2 linked regions of the Schizosaccharomyces pombe genome follow. The protein of the gene in region 2 interacts with the protein of the main gene of each other region in a biochemical or structural test. Each region holds a gene or a part of one and is shown on either strand. Other genes may lie near its edges. The genes, in order: rum1 and pop2.

Region 1 (10,934 bases), on a different chromosome or scaffold from region 2:
GATTTTGCTTATTCTTGCTCAATTATAGTTTGTTTTTAATAATTTGGCGACGGTAATCTCATATATAAAATCGATGAATTTCACATGAGTGAAGTAATAAAATCTGTACCCCCGGGCTCTCAAAACACTTCTCAGTGGATAATAAGTAAAGATCAGTTGGTATTTACTCCATCTGCATTAGATGGGATACCTTTAGATCAAGAAGAAATTCAAAGATCTAAAGGATGCAATTTCATTATAAATGTCGGGCTGAGATTAAAACTGTACGTTAATTACGATGTATCAGTTCAGTAAATTAATGAAACTAACAATAATAACAGACCTCAAACTGCGCTTGCTACTGCTAACATCTATTTCCATCGATTTTATCTTCGATTCTCACTCAAAAATTATCATTATTATGAAGTTGCTGCTACTTGCATTTTCTTGGCAACCAAGGTTGAGGATTCCGTTCGTAAACTTCGCGATATTGTAATTAACTGTGCAAAGGTTGCTCAAAAAAACAGCAATGTTTTGGTTGACGAGCAAACCAAAGAATACTGGCGGTGGAGAGATGTTATCTTGTACACAGAGGAAGTACTGTTAGAAGCTTTATGCTTTGACTTTACGGTTGAACATCCATATCCTTACGTCCTAAGTTTTATCAAAAAATTCGTGGCTGATGATAAAAATGTCACTAAGGTTGCTTGGACATACATTAACGATAGCACTAGAAGTATCGCATGTCTACTTTACTCTCCGAAAACTATAGCTGCTGCAGCATTCCAATTTGCATTAGAAAAGAACGAAATAAATCTCTCTACTACGACTGATGGGCTTCCGGTATGGATGGAAGAGTCTCAAGTTTCTTATGAAGACGTTAAAGGTATATTATATATTTTTTTATAGCCTTAGCACTAACAATGCAGGAGTGTTGACACTAATCGACTCGTTATACAAAAAGATAAACCCTTCCAAACAAGCCCTTCCAATCGACCAAAAAAACGGATCTCATGCTTCCAGCGTAGCTCCTGGGACACCGTCGTCATTGGCTTCCGTCTCGACACAAGCTACCCCTCAACATCAAAATTCATCAGGAAGAACTGACTCATTTCATTCCCTAAACACAGAAACCCCATCAAAAAGTACGGTGGACGACCAAATACTGTCGACAGCCGCCCAGCCAAAAAAATCATCTGATACAGATAAAGAGATGGAGACGGAAGCTTCATAAAAAAGAAAAATAATTCCAGATTGGAAATTTTATAAGTTATAAAAATTATTAATGCTATCAGCATCTTTATATTTATTTTTGGATTCGAATAAATCGATAACACGGTTTTAGAATATTGCTCGTAATAAAAGGCTTAAATTAAGTTCATGAGTATTTTTAAAAAGTAAATGCGTGAAAGAAATATTGCCGGAACTTAACAGTTTGACAACTTCATTGTTTGCTTATGAGTCAGAAACTCTACGAGGATTGTCGAGAATTCGAATGCTCCAGGGTTTTCTCTTTCTCCAAGCAATGAAACCATAGACAAAAATGTCCTTAAAAACTAATGCAGCAAAGGCACCAATAATGCTCTTCTCTAACTTTGTGAAATTCCCTGGAATAAACCTTCCCAAAAATTTCCCTGCTAATGGGAATAGTAGAATCGGTCGAACAATACGGAGAATTTTCGTAGTAAAAGCATCAAGGAAAACGTGTGCCACAGACAAAAGAATCCAAAATTCAGATTCTGTATCTTCTCTTTCGTTTACATCCTCGACTTGGTTACGATGCTCTACTTGTGCTTCAAACTGGCGAAACCAATCAGTTTCAGAATCTTCAAATTCCCCGTCCGCTCCAATTACAATACCGTCAAATATACGGGTCATTAGTTCCTTATATAAAGATCTTACCCAAGGCAGAGTGCACAGTAGAAGTGAGGTATTCGAAATCTTTTCCGCGCAACTATAAATTGAAAAATGCGTGTAGAGACTAAATGCTATATCATAAGGCGGAGCTTCGTAGAACCGAACCAACATGCATGGTAATAAAGGCAATACGACAGAGGAGAAAACTGGCTTTTTTAACATTTCTATCAGGCTGCTTTCATCTGCCACCTGTTTACATATCCATATTCCAGTCTGTTTGAATATTGAATAAATAAACTTGGTAATACCTAAACAAGAACCTACACCAAACGTTACTTGAGCTAGACCAGCTTCAAGGGAATGACCGATTCCAAGAACGTTTACAGCCCAAGACTTTTCCTTTGGCGGTTTAGCAATTCTATATGCGGTAAGACATTGAGGACAACGAGTACTGCCAGATCTGGTAATGTAAGAAATCAAACAACTTTCATGAGCAATGAGTGAACACCGACACGGACGTCTCCAAGAATCATTTGAAAGGGAGCATAGTTTTTTGTCGTATTCCTCATAGCATATCCAGCAGCGAGCACTGCTTTTCTCATACTTCGCGGTGTCCGTCATTTAGCAGAACCTCGGGGTTTTCCAATACAAAAAAGAAAATTTAGAATAAATAAAATAAACGCTTAACGTCAATGTTTCAAAACAAAATAGGTTTTAAAATATAGGCATTTTCCTGAACAAATTCTAACATAAAGATAGTTCAGTACTTTCTCATAAGTTTAGGAGCCTTAGTAATTAAAAAGATTGGGTATTGAAAGTAAAGTTGAAAGTGTGGAATGAACAATATAATTTAAATGATATGAGTAAAAAAGCTGTTTACAATTACTTGTGTAGCTTTTTTAATGCAAACGATTTTAGAATAAACTTCAAATCCCTAAAACTATCGTAAAGTAGTTCGTTTTGAGCGATTGGACGGATTCGTGGTGAAAGGTGGTTGAGTGGTTTCACGAGTGCTTGTCCTGCTACGAGTTGAGGGGTGCTGAGGAACGGAGGGCACATTACTGACTCGTGAAGGTGGACGAAGTCTAGAGGAAGTTTTAGAAATTATACTTTTTCTATTTGAAGAATTGAGACCATTATTAGGAATCGAACTTGCTACGGATGGCAAGTTGGATGTTGGTATAGTAGGAGCAGAGGAGGTGGCCGATTTTGGAATTGCGGATTGGCGATGACTTGCAAAAGATGAAGAAGGAGTCCTAAGTGAGTTTGGGTTAGAAGTCGTAGCCATGCTAACCCGAGAACGCACATTCATGGATGAAGACCTTGGGAACATGGGAAGGCCTAGAAGGTACATATGAAGATGCGGCTCTTCTTGCAGGTCGGACCTTTGGATCTTTAGACCTTAATAACCTTTGCTGCTGTTGTTTTTGAAGAGCTATAGCTTCCTCTTTTTGCCTTCGTTCTTGTTCAAGTCGTTCTTGTTCTTGTTGTAATTCGATCTTTCTCTGCTCTTCGGCTTGTATTTGAAGCATTTTTTGATGTTGCAATCTTTCTAATTCTTCATTATCAAAAGACAAACCTTTCCAGTCGCTATTTAGTATTAGATTCTGAGTATGCTCCGTTTGGCTTAGAACCGATGACCATAATTGTATTAGACGATTCGAGTTGTTAATGGAGGTTTCGAATGACTTTATTTTTTCTTTAGAAGCAGAAAGACCATCCGTAAGCTTTTCTATAGTGTAATTAAAGCTCCTTAAAATCTGTAGTTCTTGTTGCAATTCAGATGTCATGTTCAAAGAAAAAGATAGACTATCCTATTAACTGAAGACAAGAAAAAATCACTAAAAAATATATAATTAACTCAAGTATAGAAAATAATTTCTTGTGTGCAATTTAAGCCTAACAAAGTATTCGATTGAAGATGTGCGAATTGTTTAAAGAAATTCAGTACAAAGAGTAGACGAAGGTTGTTTTTATTTTTTTTTACAAAAAATATAATAAATTAAATGAAACAGTTTGAAAAGAAAATTGCAGCGACTCCAGTTGTCCCTTAGAATAAGAACGATAGGAAATATGAGGCAGAGGTTAGTGTTTACACAGGCAGAGAAGAAGAAATGAATTGAATAAAGAGTTAGTTATGTGCATTACATTTTGATAATAGTTTTTGAAGAGGAAACATATTTTTAATTTTTAATTTAACGAACCTATCATTTTAATTGTTTCATTTGGCAAATGCATTGATACTATTTATTGTAAACAATAGGTAATGAAGCGTAAAATAAGTCATAACATGAACATTCATTTATGAATATTTTAATTATTGACCAATATGTTTATAATATTTTTTGATAAATTATGTTAGTAGCGTATTCCTTAAACACATAAATAAACATTGTCACGATTTAATTTTTAACAATTGTGATATATTTTGGAAATACTTAGCGATGTAGCAACCGTGTATTTACTTTGCATATTGCTGTTCCCATTTCGATTTGAAAATGGTGTTTGAAAGATAGTCGATTCTTCATAAATCCATTTTTCCTGCATTTGAGCTAAGGTAATAAATATTGCTTATACCATCAATTTGCTAATAAGGAACAATCTTAACGAAATATCCCTTGAATTAGTTTTGATAGTACTTGCTTTTAAATAACAATAAGAGACTTATTTCATTTACCATACTCGCGAAGTTTCTTCTTTATTAGAACTTCAAATGTAGTTTACTTTTATTTACGGTTTTGCAGTCATATATTTTTATTTTCGAACTGGAATATTTCTATGATGCTTAAAATTGTTAGTAAATTTTTTAGATTTTTGCTAAAGAGAACAGAAAATCGATTCTCATTTAAAATCTAACTACACATTTATGCAAAAATTGTACTTGATCAAAGTAATTAATTTAGCGTACTGCGTTACAGCCATCTAATAGTAATGGTTACCACGAAATGAGCAAATAACCAGTTAACCAGAACGTCAAACATACAGTTCTACTACTACATACATAAGCTTTGGGTTCCTTGACAGCGGTTGTTGCAAACTGAATTTTTTTGTTTTGGATTATATATAATATACAATCAATTGATCTTGTTTAGTCTTGATTCGTGTGTGTTTACTTGAGTGCTGCAGTAATATATTACTAAATTGTACGAATTTGGTCAAAGAGAATCCGCTTTTTTATCAGTTTTTTATTTTTAAAATTTAATTTTGAATTATACTCTTTACAAGGAACGGTAGCATCTTTATAAGAAATCGAGCATTCAATTTCTATGTGAAAAAGTTGAATTCGTCTAAGCAAACAACCAACTAGTTTTTAAATTCTAACATTAGAAAGAATATTTTTCCTTGTTAATTATTCTATTTACAATTTTAAAGTTGGCACATATCTTTTTTTGATTGGTTGATTCTTTGATATTTTAGCTGCACTTACTTCTTGGTATGAAGTGAAATTTTGCTTTTTAAAATAGACATTTTCCCATTCCCGTTTTCTAAAAGATTCCTTTTTTTTGTTTACTCCGAAAATTTCAATACCTTTCTTACAAGCTACAATCCCATTTTGTTCCTTCCTTTTGATATATTGAAGCCATTTCAATTGTTTCTATATTATTTCAAACAATTTTACAAATATTGTTTAAATTGTATAATTATCAAAGCGCAGTCGCTAGCTTGGTGGGTATTAAATTGTTACCTTTTCGTTTGCTACAGGTAACTTGTGAACATTTCTGGTGCTGAATTTTCCTACACCCAAAAACCATTGAAAAATACATTTTTTAAATCATATCGGAAAGCTTGAATACACGCTCTTCTGATAATCCGCTCGATACATAAAGGATTTCTTCTTGCATTTACCTGGTTTTTGGATTGTCAGTTCGCTATGGAACCTTCAACACCACCTATGCGAGGGTTGTGTACTCCATCTACCCCAGAGTCTCCTGGGAGTTTTAAAGGAGTCATCGATGCTTCGTTAGAAGGTAATTCTTCTATTATGATAGATGAAATCCCTGAAAGCGATTTACCAGCACCTCAAGTTAGCACATTTCCACCTACACCTGCTAAAACTCCCAAAAAGCAATTACTACCAAATTTAATGCTACAAGATCGGAGTAATTCTTTAGAAAGATGTATGGAAGAAGACAGAGAACACAATCCTTTTCTCAGTTCATCTGATAACCAGCTTTTGTCAAGAAAGAAGAGAAAGCCTACTCCTCCTCCTTCTGATGGTTTGTACTATGTTTTTCGGGGGAAAAGAATCAAGAAATCCTTCAGGCCTGGAACTGATTTATCTACTTTTAAGCCCAAACTCTTGTTTGCTGACTCGGCGCCTTCTTCTAGTTCAGATAACCCAACATCCTCTGTAGACCTTAATGACTATTCTCAAATTGGCATTCTCCCTCCAAACCTGAATTCTATTGGGAATAAAATGTTCTCGTTAAAATCAAGGGTTCCATCTTCCTCGTCAGGTTCCTTTGTTGCTCCCCCACCGCAAATGCGTTTACCTGCGTATTCATCACCACAAAAATCACGATCTAATACAAAAGATGAAAACAGGCACAATTTATTACGATAACTTTTTTTCGCATTTTGTAATTGTGTTTGATACCGTTTATATAAATGCCCAATCACGAAATACTCTTCTGCCTTATTCATGATAATCGTTCGTTTGAACTTTTGGTAGTAGATCAGAACCTCCTATTCTCTATTCTTGATGAAAATGCATTTTGACAAACGCTGGTCGTTAGTCATTCATGGTAATATCACCACAATATCACCACGATTTTCTTAATTGAGTATCTATAATTACATTTCCCCATCTTTCCATTTGTGCCTATTCATATTCCATTTGGCAACTTAATTTTTTATCGTCCTCCCGTGTCTGCCCTGAGCCATTGCAACTTTTTTTAGCAACCTTTTACGGCATGCTTTGAAATATTATACGTTTAACTTATTTCCTAATTTCATCCACTGAGCTTTTACTTTAAGACTTATACTAATATTACATGGCTTTCACAATTTTCTTTTCTTTGTTCAGAGAGTGAATATATTCTGAAATGTTGTATTTATCGATTAGTTAATAATGCTATTCGATTTCTAAATTTTTTGCTGGTTTGGAAACTATAGTCTGTTATTCTCAATAACTAGTTTTATATTCAATTGTTTTATCCCAGTAATAAAAAGGTATTTTTATACCGCATATACAATACTATTCTAGGCTTCTTAGACAGTTATACACATTACGGTATTGCTGTTACATTGAGTTAATTTGTGGTTTGGTGATATAGTGAAGTTTACTAGCTGGTACTGAAATCCTACAAATGGATAACAAAACTGGTTCTAAGCGTATGAAAGGAGTCTTTGGGTAAAATTATAGTGTAATATCGTTTCGTTCATTGAAGTAATAATTAGGCCTAACCGACTCTACTTGACTAACATTTTTTCTTCACACCATGAAGCATGATGAATAATGTATTTATTTATGTTACCTGAGCGGTAAGATGATTTGTTTACATAATGTCACTTTTATTTACATTTGCACTGCAAAATGACAACAAGGAAGCCACTTACATCACAGTGAAGTTCGTTAAAAATTCGTAACTCTTATATTTACATGGTACCCGTGTTTCTCCCCTCTACCATACTGAGCATATAAAATAACACAAAAGTTAGTGAATCATTTTGTGGCATATCCGAACACTCCTTAGCTTTTTACGAAGCAAAACAAGAAACGATTAATAATATCATCTATCTTTTATTGAAAGTCTAGAGTTTGCATAAGTCGAGGCTGTTTACTCATAGGAACACAACATGATCGAAACAATCCCAACGAAACCATATGAGGGCCAACGCCCTGGTACATCAGGTCTTCGCAAGAAGGTTACTGTCTTTGAGCAACCAAATTACGTTGAGAACTTTGTTCAAGCTACGATGGATGTAGTTGAACCATCTGCCAAAGGAGCCCATCTAGTTGTCGGTGGTGATGGACGTTATTTCAACTTTCATGCCATCCAAGTCATTGCTGCTATAGCTGCTGGCAATGGTGTTGAGAAGATCATTGTTGGTACAAATGGATATCTGTCTACTCCCGCCGCTAGTCACATTATTAGGAAGTACAAGCTAACCGGCGGTATCATTTTGACCGCTTCTCATAATGCCGGTGGTCCCAAGAACGATTTCGGTATTAAATATAACCTTGGCAATGGTGGACCAGCACCTGAATCTGTTACTGAGAAAATTTATTCCATTACTAAAACCATATCCGAATACAAAATGGTAAAGATTCCTCCCTTGGATTTAACGACGACCGGTGTCCGTAGATATGGCCCATTGACGGTTGAAGTCATCGACCCGGTCAAGGATTATGTTCAGTTGATGAAAGAAATCTTTGACTTTGATTTGATTCGCAGCTTCCTATCCAAAAACCCCGATTTTACATTTGTCTTTGATGCTTTACATGGTATCACTGGTCCCTACGGTGAGGCTCTTTTCTGTAAGGAACTCGGTATGCCTTCATCAGTTTGTCAGAATTGCAAACCTCTTCCCGACTTTGGTGGTGGTCATCCTGACCCTAACCTCACTTACGCCAAGAGTTTGGTGGCTCGTGTTGATCGGGATAACATTGTAATGGGAGCAGCATCTGATGGTGATGGTGATCGTAACATGATTTATGGTGCCAATGCATTCGTCACACCTAGTGACAGTGTAGCCATCATTGCCCATCATGCCGAATTAATTCCATACTTCCGTGATGGAGGTGTTCATGGGTTTGCTCGTTCAATGCCCACATCTGGCGCCATTGACAGAGTTGGCAAGTATAAGGGAAAGAATGTGTATGAGGTTCCTACTGGTTGGAAGTTCTTCTGCAACTTGTTTGATGCTAAGCGTTTATCCATCTGCGGTGAAGAGTCTTTTGGAACCGGTAGTGATCACATTCGAGAGAAGGATGGCGTTTGGGGAATCTTGTGTTGGTTGAACATTCTTGCTGGATTGAACGCGCAAAACCCCAAGATCAAGACGTTGATCGATGTTAAGAAAGATTTTTACAATATTTATGGCCGTACATTCTACAGTCGTTATGATTATGAAGAGTTGGAAAATGAAGCTGCCGGTAAGGTGATGGATAGAATGCGTGCCATTGCCGATGATAAGAGCAAGGTTGGAGAGGCAGTTTTGCCTGGTTTTGTCGTTTCTGAAGCCGGTGATTTTGAGTATCATGATCCCATTGATGGTAGCGAAAGCAAGCATCAAGGATTATACATCAAATTTGAGAATGGTAGTAGAATTGTGACACGTTTGTCCGGTACTGGATCCAGCGGAGCCACGTTACGACTCTACATGGAGAAGCACGAATCAGATTCGAGCAAGTTTGATCTTGATGCTCAAGTTGCATTGAAGCCAGTGGTTCATGCAGCTCTTGAAATCTTGGCTCTGGAGGAATTGACTGGTCGTAAGGAGCCAACTGTCATTACTTAAAGATAGTATATTTTATCATTGAATTTATGAGGTTTATTAGCTGAATTAAAAAACTACTAGCGTTTTAACGAATTATTTGCACTGAATTCATGAAAATCATGAGCAATAACGAATTACATTTTTTTTTACTAAACCCCTTGAGGGTTTTTCTTCTCTTCTTTTTTTTTAATAATACTTTGTATTACTAGGAGAAATGAATAAAAGCATTTTTACCATGAACCAACTCGATTGTTTAAAACTCAAATATGCATAGAGAGAGAGACAGACAGTAGGATAGAGGGATTTATTATTGGGTTTGCATAATGGAAAAATGATCATAAAGTAAACATTAGCTTGTAGAACGGTTGGGAATTAAACGGAAAAAGTTTATTTCTAAAACAAGTGAGAACTTGAATATAGATTTTAAAAGGAAAACATTTATAAATATTTTCTTAATGACTATGCTACATGAAAAGGAATCTGAGGAGTTGAAAAAGATACTTAATATGGAGTTGGGCATACCGAATGATGTATGAGAAGAGGAATGCTCAGTACCGTTTGTCCTAACGTAAAGTATTAATAAATAAATGTTGAATGCGCGCGATAAAAATTAAGATACAAATTATTTTTACAAATGCATATTCCTATACCATTCGAATGAATTTCAATCCAAATACCCATTTTCAATAGAGTGTGCGGCATACAAAAGGAAAGAGACACACTACAGCGGAGCGGTCAAGTAACATTCCAGCAATTGCTAGTCAAGAATTTGGAGAGTCGTCTTACGATGGGTATGGAAAGTAATGAGGAAAATGCGTTACCAGCCCTTTAGGCAAAAGTCTAGTCATTTTAGAAAAAAGAGTTTAAACTTTTTTATGCTTGTTTGCAAGCAATTGCAACAATTCGCTGAAGTGGAAAGATGGATCAGCGGGAATTGATGAAAAACGTGTTACTCGGTGCGGAATCGAGATATGAAATTGAGTAAGAGTAGAAAGGAATTGATCGAGAAACGGAAAAACTAAGGGAAAAGAAACATGCTAGAGTTAGAAAAGCTAAAACGTTAATTTGAATGGTGTTCAAAGACCGTGGTTTTAAAGATGTAAAAGCAATGGGTAATGGGTATGTAGGTAGTAGTAGGTAAGTGTGAGGATGCGTTAGTGAGTATGTAGAGAAGAAAAAAATCGAAAGAAAAGAAAAGAAAAATATAATAAGAAAAAATAAAAGAAATAAACCATCTGAGGCGAAATGAAGGCGCATAAGTCGGGTAGATGCGTATACACTAAAAGTGCGAGTAGAGACTAGTTTACTCAATACATCTACGCAAACAAAAAGTACTTGCGAACCAAGTGTATGGAAAGGAGGAGAAAAAAGAAGAAACGTTACAAAAAAGAAGATGAAAAAGAACGTATATAGTTATGAAAGTGCGGGAAGAAAAAAAAAGGCAAACAGCAGACATGGAAGGAAAGCGGGTTATTACACTTTATACTATTATAGATATTCTATTATACAGGTTAAATAAGTAAAAGAGTAGATGGGTGGTGGTGGAATGGGAGTGTTGTAAGTAAAGCGATATTGCCAAGTACGTTTGGAGACTGGAGCAAGTGATGTATCCTGAAACTGTTTCATTATAATGCATATTTTATTTGTATTGTGTA
Region 2 (11,317 bases):
TTGTACTCATAGAAGGTTATTTTTCATATAATGCTCCCTAAACGAAAATGATACATCTTTGGAAAAAAGTTCCGTTGTCCATTACTATACTATCAACAGTTTTTTGAATAAAATTAACCTACAATGTATACTTGAAGTCAAAGTAGTTTTTATCGAAGAAGTGCACCCGAACATAACCATCTTCTCCACCACTAGCATAACCGGTTCCTTTGGGATGGACAGCTATTGTGTTGATAGGACCGAAATGACCCTTAACGCGGCCTAACTCTTCTTCTAAAATCGCATGATAAAAACGTGCTTCAAATTTACCCTGTCTAGCAGCAGTAGTAGTAACATCACGGGCTTCTTGACCACCTCCTAAAATAACGAAGTCTTGGACAGGAGTAAAACTAGAAGTATTAAGAGGCGTATCAGTAAGGTATGTTTTGATGACTTCAAAAGAATCAACATCAATAGCTTTAGCAGTCGTATCCTTGCAAGAAGTGATGAAGTAAGTACGATCAGGATAAAACTGAAGATCAGTAATAGTAGAACCAGAATTATGAACTTGTTTAGATTCAACGAATTCTCCGGTTATAGCATCGTATCTGGAAACGGAGCCATCTTCATGACCAGTAAAGAGAAACTTGCTCAAGTAAGACCATCCAGCGACCGTTGCTTTAGATTCACGAGTAGTAATAACGTAAAGGGGGGTTTCAGCAGCGGCATCGCTTTCCGAAATAGGAACACGGAAAACAGTGACGGTACCAGCATAACCCATACGTTCCTCGGTAACAGCAAGAATACGGGTATCATCTTCGTTGAACTCAACACGTTTGACAGCAGTAGGAAATTCCCACTTGTACAACTGCTTTCCTGTTTTAACATCCCAAAGACGCATGGTATTGTCAGCGGCTCCACTAACCATTAAAGTGCTACTTTCTGTTTCAGTTAGTAACCATTGGAAAAGGAACAGATGATCTAGTTGGATTTGAGGCATCAAGAAGAAGGAAAAGGATTTAAAAGAAGTTTAAATGCTTTCCACGAGGAAGTGAAGTGAGGTAAACGTAGCATTAATATAAGTAAAGGAGATGCACCATGCATATTTAACTTTAAGTACTACGCCAACTCAGAATCGTGGATCACGAGTATAACCATCTGCAATCGGACGACTAATAAAAAAAATACATTTATTAGAGTCATGATATGTTTCATTATTCGTGTTTCCTTATACTTCCATAATCCGTATACCTTTAGATGTCTTAATCCAACATACATCACCACCAATTTTCACGTACTATTAATATCACAAGTCCAAATTGCACCAGTATGACCCTCATATGTACCTAGGCGTTCACCATTGTGTGAAAACCAGACATTAATCACTTTATCCTTGGCACATGAGAATAATAAATCACCCTACACACAAAAATTAGTAAATTTTCCACATATAATGGACGGTTATTAAACCTACATCGTGATTATATTTTATTTGAGTCAAAGGACGCTCATGACCCTGTAAAATGATAGGCCTCATCTTTTGAACAGGAAAGTGCTGGTAGAGGGTTTGAGCGAAAAGTCTTTAGTTGTAATATTTTGATTCTAATTAGCGTAACTTAAGGATGGTATTAAAAATAAGGAGGCTTAACGACACTCTTAAATGAACTGGCTTCATTTCTGAGACACTTGCGTTAGACTAGTTAGACCCAAAGGTCGCACGTCTCACTTTGAAAACAGTATTTTGTGGTTTTGTTTGAATTTTGTCTGTCTTACTTATTTGTACAAAAAATAATATTTCTTTCGTGATTTTTAAAAAAAAATACAAAAGCGTTTGGTCTTAAACTAGCGTCTCTTTGTTCCATTCGTTTACGATTGAAAGTATATTTCCTTAGCTAAAAATCCTTTTCTAGCGTGCTTGGTAATTATACTTATAAAACATATCTAGAACCGGATAACCTGAGTGTTTTATAGAAGCGTCAAAAACATCTAATCGTTTTTTGAAAATAATTGTTTATCAAGATAATTATTTCTCTTTGATATTTAGCGTGCATTTATAAAGGAAAAGAAAAGAATTGACAAAATATCTTGACAATATGGGTAATTTATCAGGCTGGTTTATTCACTGTCCTCCATTACAATGGACACTTGATCAATTAGAAACGATGATGATAAATACAATTAAACGTGGCAAAGTACCACAACACATAGCCTTTGTAATGGATGGCAATCGACGGTGGGCTCGTCAAAGAAGGATGGAAACTATCGAGGGTCATAGCTCAGGTTTTGAAGCTTTAAAATCTGTAAGTTTAAAGAACATTAATAGAAGGTTAAACGTACCGTTTCTCCATGTTTTGCGCATTGGTATCCGTCTACGTTCTGCACAATTTGGTACATTAACTAACCCTGCGTAAGCTATTAAAAGTGTGTCTGAAGTTAGGAGTTAAAGAAGTATCGGCTTTCACATTCTCCATTGAAAATTTTAAGCGATCTAAATATGAAGTTGATATGTTAATGGAGATTGCAAAAAACAGCTTAACGCAAATTACTGCTCATGGTGATTTGGTTGATCAGTATGGGATCCGTATTCGCATTGTTGGCGATCTTAGCAGGTTGCAACCTGACGTTTTAGAAACTGCTCTAAAGGCTGTGGAAATTACAAAACATAACACAAAGTATGTGAAATTTTTCAAATTTTTATTTTGCTAATTGACATCTTAGGGCAACATTAAATGTTTGCTTTCCATACACTTCTCGACATGAAATTGCTACTTCTGTGCAATCAATAGTAAAAATGGCAGAAGATGGTACAATCACTCCAGAAGATATAGATGAAGATATATTTGAAAAAAACCTATTGATAAAAGATAGTCTTCCTTTAGACTTGTTGATTCGCACTAGCGGTGTGGAGCGTCTATCTGATTTTATGTTATGGCAGGTAAGTAAAAATTCTCCTAATTTTCTAGTCAAAGATATTCAACTAATTTTATCAGTGTCACAAAAATACGGAGATAAAATTCATCGATTTCTACTGGCCGGATTTTTCTATCTGGAAGTTTTTCCCAATGTTAATTCAATACCAGTTACAAAACCAACCAGCATAATTTATTCAATCCTTCGTTACTTATTTACTTTTGATAGGCTTTGGCTGTTAATTTTACATTGTATACATTTAATATGTGTTAGTAGCTGATGTAAATAGTTAGACACTACTCTAATTATGTCTTCTTAAATATTGTTAAAATGAAACTTTCTACGGTCTTGATCCGGAAAAATTAATAACTTCCAAATATGCTTGATCATCACGCTGCACTGCAGCCACACAACGCATAGCATCAAAATCGACATGCCATATTTTTGTGAGGTCTGTTAATAGAAAACGTAACAGCTTTCCAGTCCTAACATCCCATAACTTTACAGAACCATCATTACCACTAATAATTTTGTGTTCATCTGACACAAAGCTACTAATGTAGCCTGAATTAGACGGCAAAACCATTAATGGTTTCCCAGTATTCAAATCCCATATTCTAATTGTGGAGTCAGCAGAACCTGATATCAACCTATTCTGGAATACATTAAGAAGCGTAACAAAGGCATCATGGCCTTCAAGCACATATTTACAAGTCCCTGTCGATAAATCCCAAACCCTAATGGACTTATCCATGCTACCGCTTATGCAAATATTCCTTTCTGGTTCATATAAAACACTATATATACGAAGACTATGACCCCGCAGATGGTAAAGACATTCCCCTGTTGAAACTCTCCAAATGCGAATTGAAGAATCATAACTCCCACTCACAAGTATATCACCATAGCCGGATATAGTTCGTACAGAGTCTGTATGTCCTATCAAAGTATGTACAAAATACGGGTTCTTCTCCCAACGGTCAATAGAGTTTGTATTATCTGGAAGATAAGGAGGATCCGTGTTTTTTGGAAGCTTCCAAACCCGAAGTGTATGATCCCGAGAGCCGCTGACAATGTACGGTTGATCTGGTTCAACAATTTCAACTCCATGGCGAATAAGACGACTCGGAACTAAGATCTCTAAGCATCTGATGATGGAAATATGTCCCCTAAATATGTGCGTACATTTAGCTTTCTCTATGTTCCAAACGCGAACAGTTTTATCGATCGAACCAGATACAAGTGTATTCTCATGTATTTTGACAGCCCAAACACCTTCTTTATGACCCTCTAATCGAGCTTCTAAAACACCGGTAATAGCATTATGAATTTGAATTGTTCCAGATCCCGAAGTGGTGATTATTCTGTCTTTATGAAGTAGTAAAGAAGTTATCATAAAGTTTGGAACATGAATGGGAAAAGATAGATGACTTGGAGGTATCGAAGGAAATAACCATCGTTTTCTATTGAGAAAATGTCTTTTGAAAATTTCCGGAAAATAGTCATCTGAGATTTGGTCGTTGTGCAAAAAAGGTGGACGATTTAAGTTTGGATTAGCATATTTCCAGTCATTTTCATTGATTTGAAAGCCAAATAAACTAAACATGTGTTTCCAGTATGAAGTATGCACATCAAGTATTCTATTCCAAGTAGGCGAAACAAGACGGCAAGAAAGAAAAGAATGTATATCCAGATTTAATAATATAGACTGAACAATGGAAAAAGGAAGATTTGAAAGTATATCTTTTTTTAGAAGCGGCTCGCATTCATTCAATAATAAACGCATCGATTGCCGATTGCACGAACGGAGTAGTTGAAAAAACGCATAAGATTGAATTCCTTCTGGAAGATCCTCAAAAGTTTGAACAATTGACTGTAAGTTTAAATCTTCAAGATCCTCAGAGATAGGTTTACTACCAGGTGAAACAGTGTTTGATGTGTCGACTTTCGGAGAAGGAGGGAAATTGTCGGAGTTAGATGAAATGCTATTATCTAACTTAATTCGATTGTTTCTATCAATTGATATAATTTTAGGTGGAAGAGAAGAATGAGAATATAGAAAATTCCTTTGAGGAACAAGGGAAATGGAAAAATCGCCAGGAACACTATCTGGCGGTGAGTGGTCTAAGCATTTATAAGAGACATTCTCTATACTTTCATTAAACTTTCGAAGAAAAGAAGGCGTACAAGAATGCTTTAATGGGTACTGATACGAATCAGTGCACGGCAGGGAAGAACTCGTATTGCCATTACAACTATTTGATTCTGAGCGAGGATCCGATGCAATTTGATCATCTTGAGGAAGCAGGTTATCCCCATGAATAAGTGAAGAAGGAAATACTTGAGGATCAAATGATTCTGGAGGTGTAGCAGGGCTGCTGCTATTTATTAAAGGAACAGAGGAATTTATACGGGAGGACGAATTGTCAGTTGGACACCTAGAGAGTGACATGCGTAGATGCAATGATTGTGATTTTTCGTTGAAATAAATAAGAAGTCAAAAATGAGCTTTAAGGAAAACAGTCGATAAAACAATCTGAAAATAAATTGGAAAAGAGACCAATGAAAAAGTTACTGACAGATTGGAAAGAAGAAACAACACCGTTATGGTTTGTTTCTACAGATTAATCAAAAACTGGCATATGCCGAAATTAGATACAGATTAAAAAGTGCGGGCATAAAGAGAAAATGAATAATGGAAAGGTTTTTTTATAAGTAATCTTTTAATTGAAAAAATAACAGAAGCTCAATATGCGTTGTTCATACCATACAGAATCTTTGTGTGTGGTAGGAGGCAAGTTCTGGCGGAGAATTTGTAAACAAAAGTTCGTACAATGCGAATGCAAAACTTGTAATAAAAAGATACATGAATTGATACTTTTTAAGTAAATAAATATAAAGCGGTACCTAAAACAGGAAACATGGATTAAGAAAATTGAGTAGAAGTTATATGATACAGATTAGCGTAAGCAGCGTTTTCAAACAAAATATATGCATTTTTTATTTTTCTGAGCTAGAATTTGATGTTCGTTGATAAATAAAATAAGTTTTATGGAAGTTAATACGAAAACTGATTGTAAATCCCATTGCTGGTATATTGTTAGCAAAAAAAACCATAATGGCCTAAGTATCAGTTTCATAAATTCAAAAACAACTAAAAATTTGGGTTCGAATGAAAAACATACTTGATTTACGTCTGCTACGGAAGCTATACTCATCTTGTAATTCCACGCCTCTCATACAGCTACCGAAAATTGCTACTACTTTTTGACCTGAACATAAACCGTGTTTTAAAAAGTTTGGTTTTTATTAATGTTTTTTTTATCTTTTTTGTTTTCTCACATTATTTGAATAATTAATGAAATGGATTCTCACACAACAGAAAAGCGTAGAGGTTCTTACCTGCGCGTCCTGTTTAAGAATGGACGTTTACCAGTAGAAGGATTTCTTTGGAACTGTGATCCCTTGACTGGAACATTAATTTTGATTCAACCTCTTACTCCCAATACAGACGAGGTTGAAGATACTCATTATCGTTTTTATGGTATAATGTCGGATGCTATTCAGACCATTGAACCCGACGAAAGTATGTCTCCTCTTAATCAACAATCGCTAGCAGAATATGATTCTCTATTAACTTCATGATGCGAATTGCATTCAGCGTTTGAAATATATGATTTGAATCTACAATTCTGATGGATAATTCGCTTCTTTTGCGAGGGAAATGTTTTCCTTCCTTTATCGTAAATTAACTATATAAAATATTGTTATACTGAATTGACTTCGACGAATCACTTCAACGCCTTTTTTGCAACCTGAGCGGAGCGGAGTGATATCATCGGACTACAGTAACTGGTATATAGTTGCTACATTCTTTACTTCTCCCAATACCAACATCGTTCTCTTCAAAATGGCTTTTAACTACTCAATTGCCAATACCGTTGATGATGCTGCTCAAAGCATTGCTGAAAATACGAGTTCTTTAGCCACGTTTTCAAAACCGCCTTTGGTCATTGCTCATAGAGGGTATGTTTTATGAATGTATTAGTTGCATACTGCTTTTATTATTAGTAGACTTAGTTTCATATCTGCAACTTTGTACCCTTAATTGTCAAAATCCTTCTCCAATTTAGCAAATGTTTAACTTATGTTTACAGATACAAAGCTAAGTATCCTGAAAATACTATACTAGCATTTCAACAAGCCGTAAAGGCTGGTGCTGACTGCGTTGAAACAGATGTTCGACTAACTAAAGATGAAGTGGTTTGCATTTTGCATGATAGAAATCTTAACAGAGTATTCGGTGTTGATGTTGATGTTCGAGATCTTGATTATGAATTGGATAATGGTCATTTTCGTACCATTCAAGAGCCTCACGAGCCGTTACCTACCTATGAACAATTTTTGCATGAATTAACCAAGCATCCTGGCGTCAATCTACTTGTTGACATTAAGCCAGTAAACGATTTGTTAATTATTCCCAGAATGGTTGATGCAATGCTTCGGGTTAATTCTGATTTAGACTTTTGGAAAGACAAAGTATCGTTTTGTTTATGGTCACATAGGTTCATCCCTGCTTGTGATCGATATGCCCCATCAATTCCGTTATATCATATTGGATTCAACTTCGCTTATGCTGAAAGACATTTTGTTATGCATCCCAGAGTAAAGGGTGTCAGTATGGCTGTTGCTCTGTTTTTACTTCCTCATTCTCAGGATTTTGTTGATCTCGTTCATGCCCAAGGTAAACAAGTCTTTGCATGGACTTTAAACACACCTTCTTCTATCTATCTTGCTTTAATTAGAGGCTGTGACGGACTTTTATCTGATGATCCGGTGATGGCTAGAGCTCTTTCCCAAGGCCCAATTGTTACCAAATCTTGGCATTATTTCCATTATTCCGAGTGGCTTCATATGATTTATGGTTTCTTACGAGCACAATTTGTCTTCTTTTTATTGAGAACCTTTGTGTTGTAAGTATGTTATTCTAAATATGGAAAATACATATATTATGATTGATGAATACTAGAATTCCGGTTTTAGTGATTGAGCATTTTTGTTGCTCTTCCATTTGTTTAAATCCCATCTCCCAATTTTTTCTTATTTGCTTGAGAGTTTACGCTCTATCTTTTTGTATTATTGCAATCGCTCACTAAAGATTTTTGTCATTAGGACAGCCACGTTGAAGCAGAAAAAAGAGAAATTCGCAAACATACGTGGCATTTCAATTGATAAAAAAGTTTTTTTCTATCGTTTTTTTCGTTTCAAAAATATACTTATTTACAATAAATAACATAACTTGGCAAGGCATTATGCCGTCCTAAATAATTTGCATTTAGTACGGAACAAGCGTATTCTGCAGTAGTAGTTTAATCATTGATACTCTTATTATCTTATGAAAACTAATATTTAAGAACTAGTTAACACTTTTAATAGTTTGAGTCAGTATATTAACAAAAGAGCCTTGATTCATCAACAATAGATGCTACCAGTTAACTATTAATATAAATTCGTCTATAAGAAGTTCAATGAGATTTTCTAATTAAAAAAAAAAAAACGTACTTAATTCGAAGCATGCTTCTAGCTTAAATTATCAAACAAATTACAAAGAAATGAATTTTATTTTTTTAGGGATATAATCAATGGTTAATTTTCAAAGAAAAAATTATGATCTGGTTCGTGGTGTGCAGAGTGGTAGTATACGTACCCATCCATTCATACTATAATACTTTCATAGCTGCATAGCTACAACATCAAATATCATACATGTCAAAATGACAGATTTGGAGATAGAAACCGTTAGTAGGGTTTCTAGTAATCCTGATGAAGTAAAAGGATCGTCTGTTGTCGAAGAAGAACCGGATAGTGAATCAACAATCAAAAGTCGAGTTTCTGATGAAATAGATGAACATGATTCCATACCTGAACAGTCTAATACTGAAAAAAGTATAGAAATTAACGATAAAAACTTAGAAGCGGAAAAAGATATTGAAAGCAATCTATCTCTAAGACCTCCAGAAGATGACTTAGATTCACGTTCGATTGAAAGTGAACAAACAGGTACTCTGAGCAAACAGACTACATCTACTTCTGAAGCTCCACAAGATCTAAAGATTTGGAAGAATATTTCAAACGCCTCTAACCAAAACTCTGGCAAACTCAATCCTCAACTCTTCGTAATTGAGGCTTTTAAGCATATGTCAAAAGCAAAGGCTACAAAACGGCATAAGAAGCTTAGGGAGGCTATCAATAATGTCCAAATAGAATTACAAAAGCAGCCATTTCTTCTTCCCGAAGTCATTTTGGAACCTTTGGTAATGGCTTGTCAAACAAATAGTACAACGTTGCTGACTATTACTTTGGATTGCTTTGCCAAGCTGATTGATTACAATTATTTTGATTCCCCAACATTAAATCCATCGGATATTACCTTAATGGAACGTGTGGTTAACACTATTGCATCCTGTTTTTGCGGTGAGTCTACTCCAGAAAGAGTGCAGCTACAAATTGTAAAGGCTTTATTGGCAGCTATTACTTCTGAAAGGACAATCATTAGACATTCGTTTTTACTTACAGCAGTGAGGCAAACTTACAATATTTTCCTCTTATGTAAAGACTCAACTACCCAAGCCATTGCTCAGGTAGCTCTTTTACAAATGGTTGATTCAGTATTCCAGCGCCTTTCTACCGTTCTTAATCATGAAAGAGAATTTTCTACTATTAACATGAATAAATCATCCAGTAATGGAACTCGTAAGCAATCATCATGTTTTTAGTTCTTTATACTAACTTATTGTTTTAGCTGATCGTGCTAACTCTCCTATACCTTCTCAATTATCAGAAAACAAACTCACACTTGAATCTTTCGAGCACAGAAAAAGCTTTGACCAGGTTCGTGAAGAAGCTCCTTTGGAAGAGGATTCTTTGGAGCAACAGTTGCTTCGGGATGCATTTTTGTTAATCAGAGCTTTATGTAAGCTTTCTATTAAAAACATTCCGTATGAGCATGAATACGACCTAAAGTCGCAATCGATGCGATCAAAGTTGATGAGCTTGCATCTTATATATCATATTCTTCGAACTTATATGAACATCCTTTCGGACATAAATGTGAAAATAAGGTCTCCAACTTCAACTCCGACACCATTGATTGACGCTGTTAAACAATACATTTGCCTTGCATTGGCTAAAAATGTGGTTAGCCATGTTTTACCGGTATTCGAGATTTCTTGTGAAATATTTTGGTTAATTCTTTCTGAATTAAAAAATTTTTTCAAGTCAGAGTTAGAAGTGTTTTTTACCGAAATCTTCTTTCCCATATTGGAAATGCGAACCTCTAGCAATCAACAAAAAATTGTACTGCTGAATATTTTTCACCGCATGTGTGAAGAACCACAGACCTTAATTGAACTTTATCTTAATTATGACTGTATAAGTGGTAATACTGAAAATATTTATGAAAGAGCAATTGTTACTCTATCAAGGATTGCAAGTCAGAGTACTTCTGATCCTCCTCCTTCATTTGTTTTCCGTGATGACCAGCTAGTAATTGATAAACCGGGGTTTGTATATCATACATTGAATGATATTCCTCAGCTTAATTCGTCAACAATTGGAAGCTATGTTCATTCGCACAATCCACCTTACTTTGATTATCAAATTCGGTTGAAGTCTTATAGATGTTTAATATCTACTTTATCTTCTCTATTTACATGGTGTAATCAAACATTTGCGCCTACTGTCGAAATAACGGCGAAGGACGACGAAACAGAGTCGACTTCAAAAGGAGAAGAACCACAGAAAAGTAAATCAGAGCCCCCTTCCGCAGGTATAAATAGTACATCAATGGATAATTTGGAATCTTCTGGTCAGGCTTTAGCTACAGACGATCCTTCTCAGTTTGAAAATTTAAAACATCGAAAGAAACAATTACAAGAAGCAATACAAAAATTTAACTACAAACCAAAAGAGGGAATTAAGATTCTACTTTCAAGTCATTTTATTGCTTCCAAAACTCCTACCGATATTGCTAAATTTTTAATCTCTACAGAAGGCTTGGATAAAGCTGTGCTAGGCGAGTATTTAGGAGAAGGAAATGACGAGAATATTGCTATCATGCACTCTTTCGTTGACCACATGAGTTTCAATGATATTCCATTTGTGAATGCCCTTCGTTCATTTTTACAAAAATTTCGTTTACCCGGTGAAGCGCAAAAGATTGACAGATTCATGCTCAAGTTTGCAGAAAAATATATTGATGACAATCTTGGTGTTTTTAAAAATGCAGACACTGCTTATATTCTAGCATATTCAATTATTATGTTAAATACTGATTTACATTCTCCCCAAGTTAAAAATCGGATGACATGTCAAGATTTTATTAAAAATAACAGAGGTGTGGATGATGGTGCTAATCTGAGCGATTCGT

Evidence for each region.
Region 1: the proteins of pop2 (region 2) and rum1 form a complex in vitro, tested with the Schizosaccharomyces pombe proteins (one study listed by BioGRID).

What each region holds. Positions count from the first base shown.
Region 1 is NC_003423.3:2,794,882-2,805,815, forward strand, and holds rum1 (CDK inhibitor Rum1), read left to right. Parts: upstream 1-4,795; 5' UTR 4,796-5,707; coding exon 5,708-6,400; 3' UTR 6,401-7,036; downstream 7,037-10,934. Other genes in the region: P-TEFB-associated cyclin T Pch1, read left to right, coding at 85-263, 321-865, 909-1,213; SPOM_SPBC32F12.07C (MARCH family ubiquitin-protein ligase E3), read right to left, coding at 1,435-2,457; pgm1 (phosphoglucomutase), read left to right, coding at 7,636-9,300. UniProt on the Schizosaccharomyces pombe protein: Regulator of cell cycle G1 phase progression. Ensures the correct sequence of S phase and mitosis in the cell by acting as an inhibitor of the cdc2 mitotic kinase. Probably interacts with cdc2 to inhibit its action until the cell mass for Start is reached.
Region 2 is NC_003424.3:5,349,155-5,360,471, reverse strand, and holds pop2 (F-box/WD repeat protein Pop2), read right to left. Parts: upstream 5,686-11,317; 5' UTR 5,342-5,685; coding exon 3,230-5,341; 3' UTR 3,087-3,229; downstream 1-3,086. Other genes in the region: sum1 (translation initiation factor eIF3i), read right to left, coding at 119-921, 1,278-1,398, 1,454-1,516; rer2 (cis-prenyltransferase), read left to right, coding at 2,073-2,279, 2,392-2,651, 2,698-2,914, 2,970-3,080; SMN complex subunit Gem6, read left to right, coding at 6,253-6,534; pgc1 (glycerophosphoryl diester phosphodiesterase), read left to right, coding at 6,800-6,915, 7,047-7,866; Sec7 domain-containing protein sec71, read left to right, coding at 8,664-9,642, 9,692-11,317. UniProt on the Schizosaccharomyces pombe protein: Involved in maintenance of ploidy through proteasome dependent degradation of CDK inhibitor rum1 and S-phase initiator cdc18.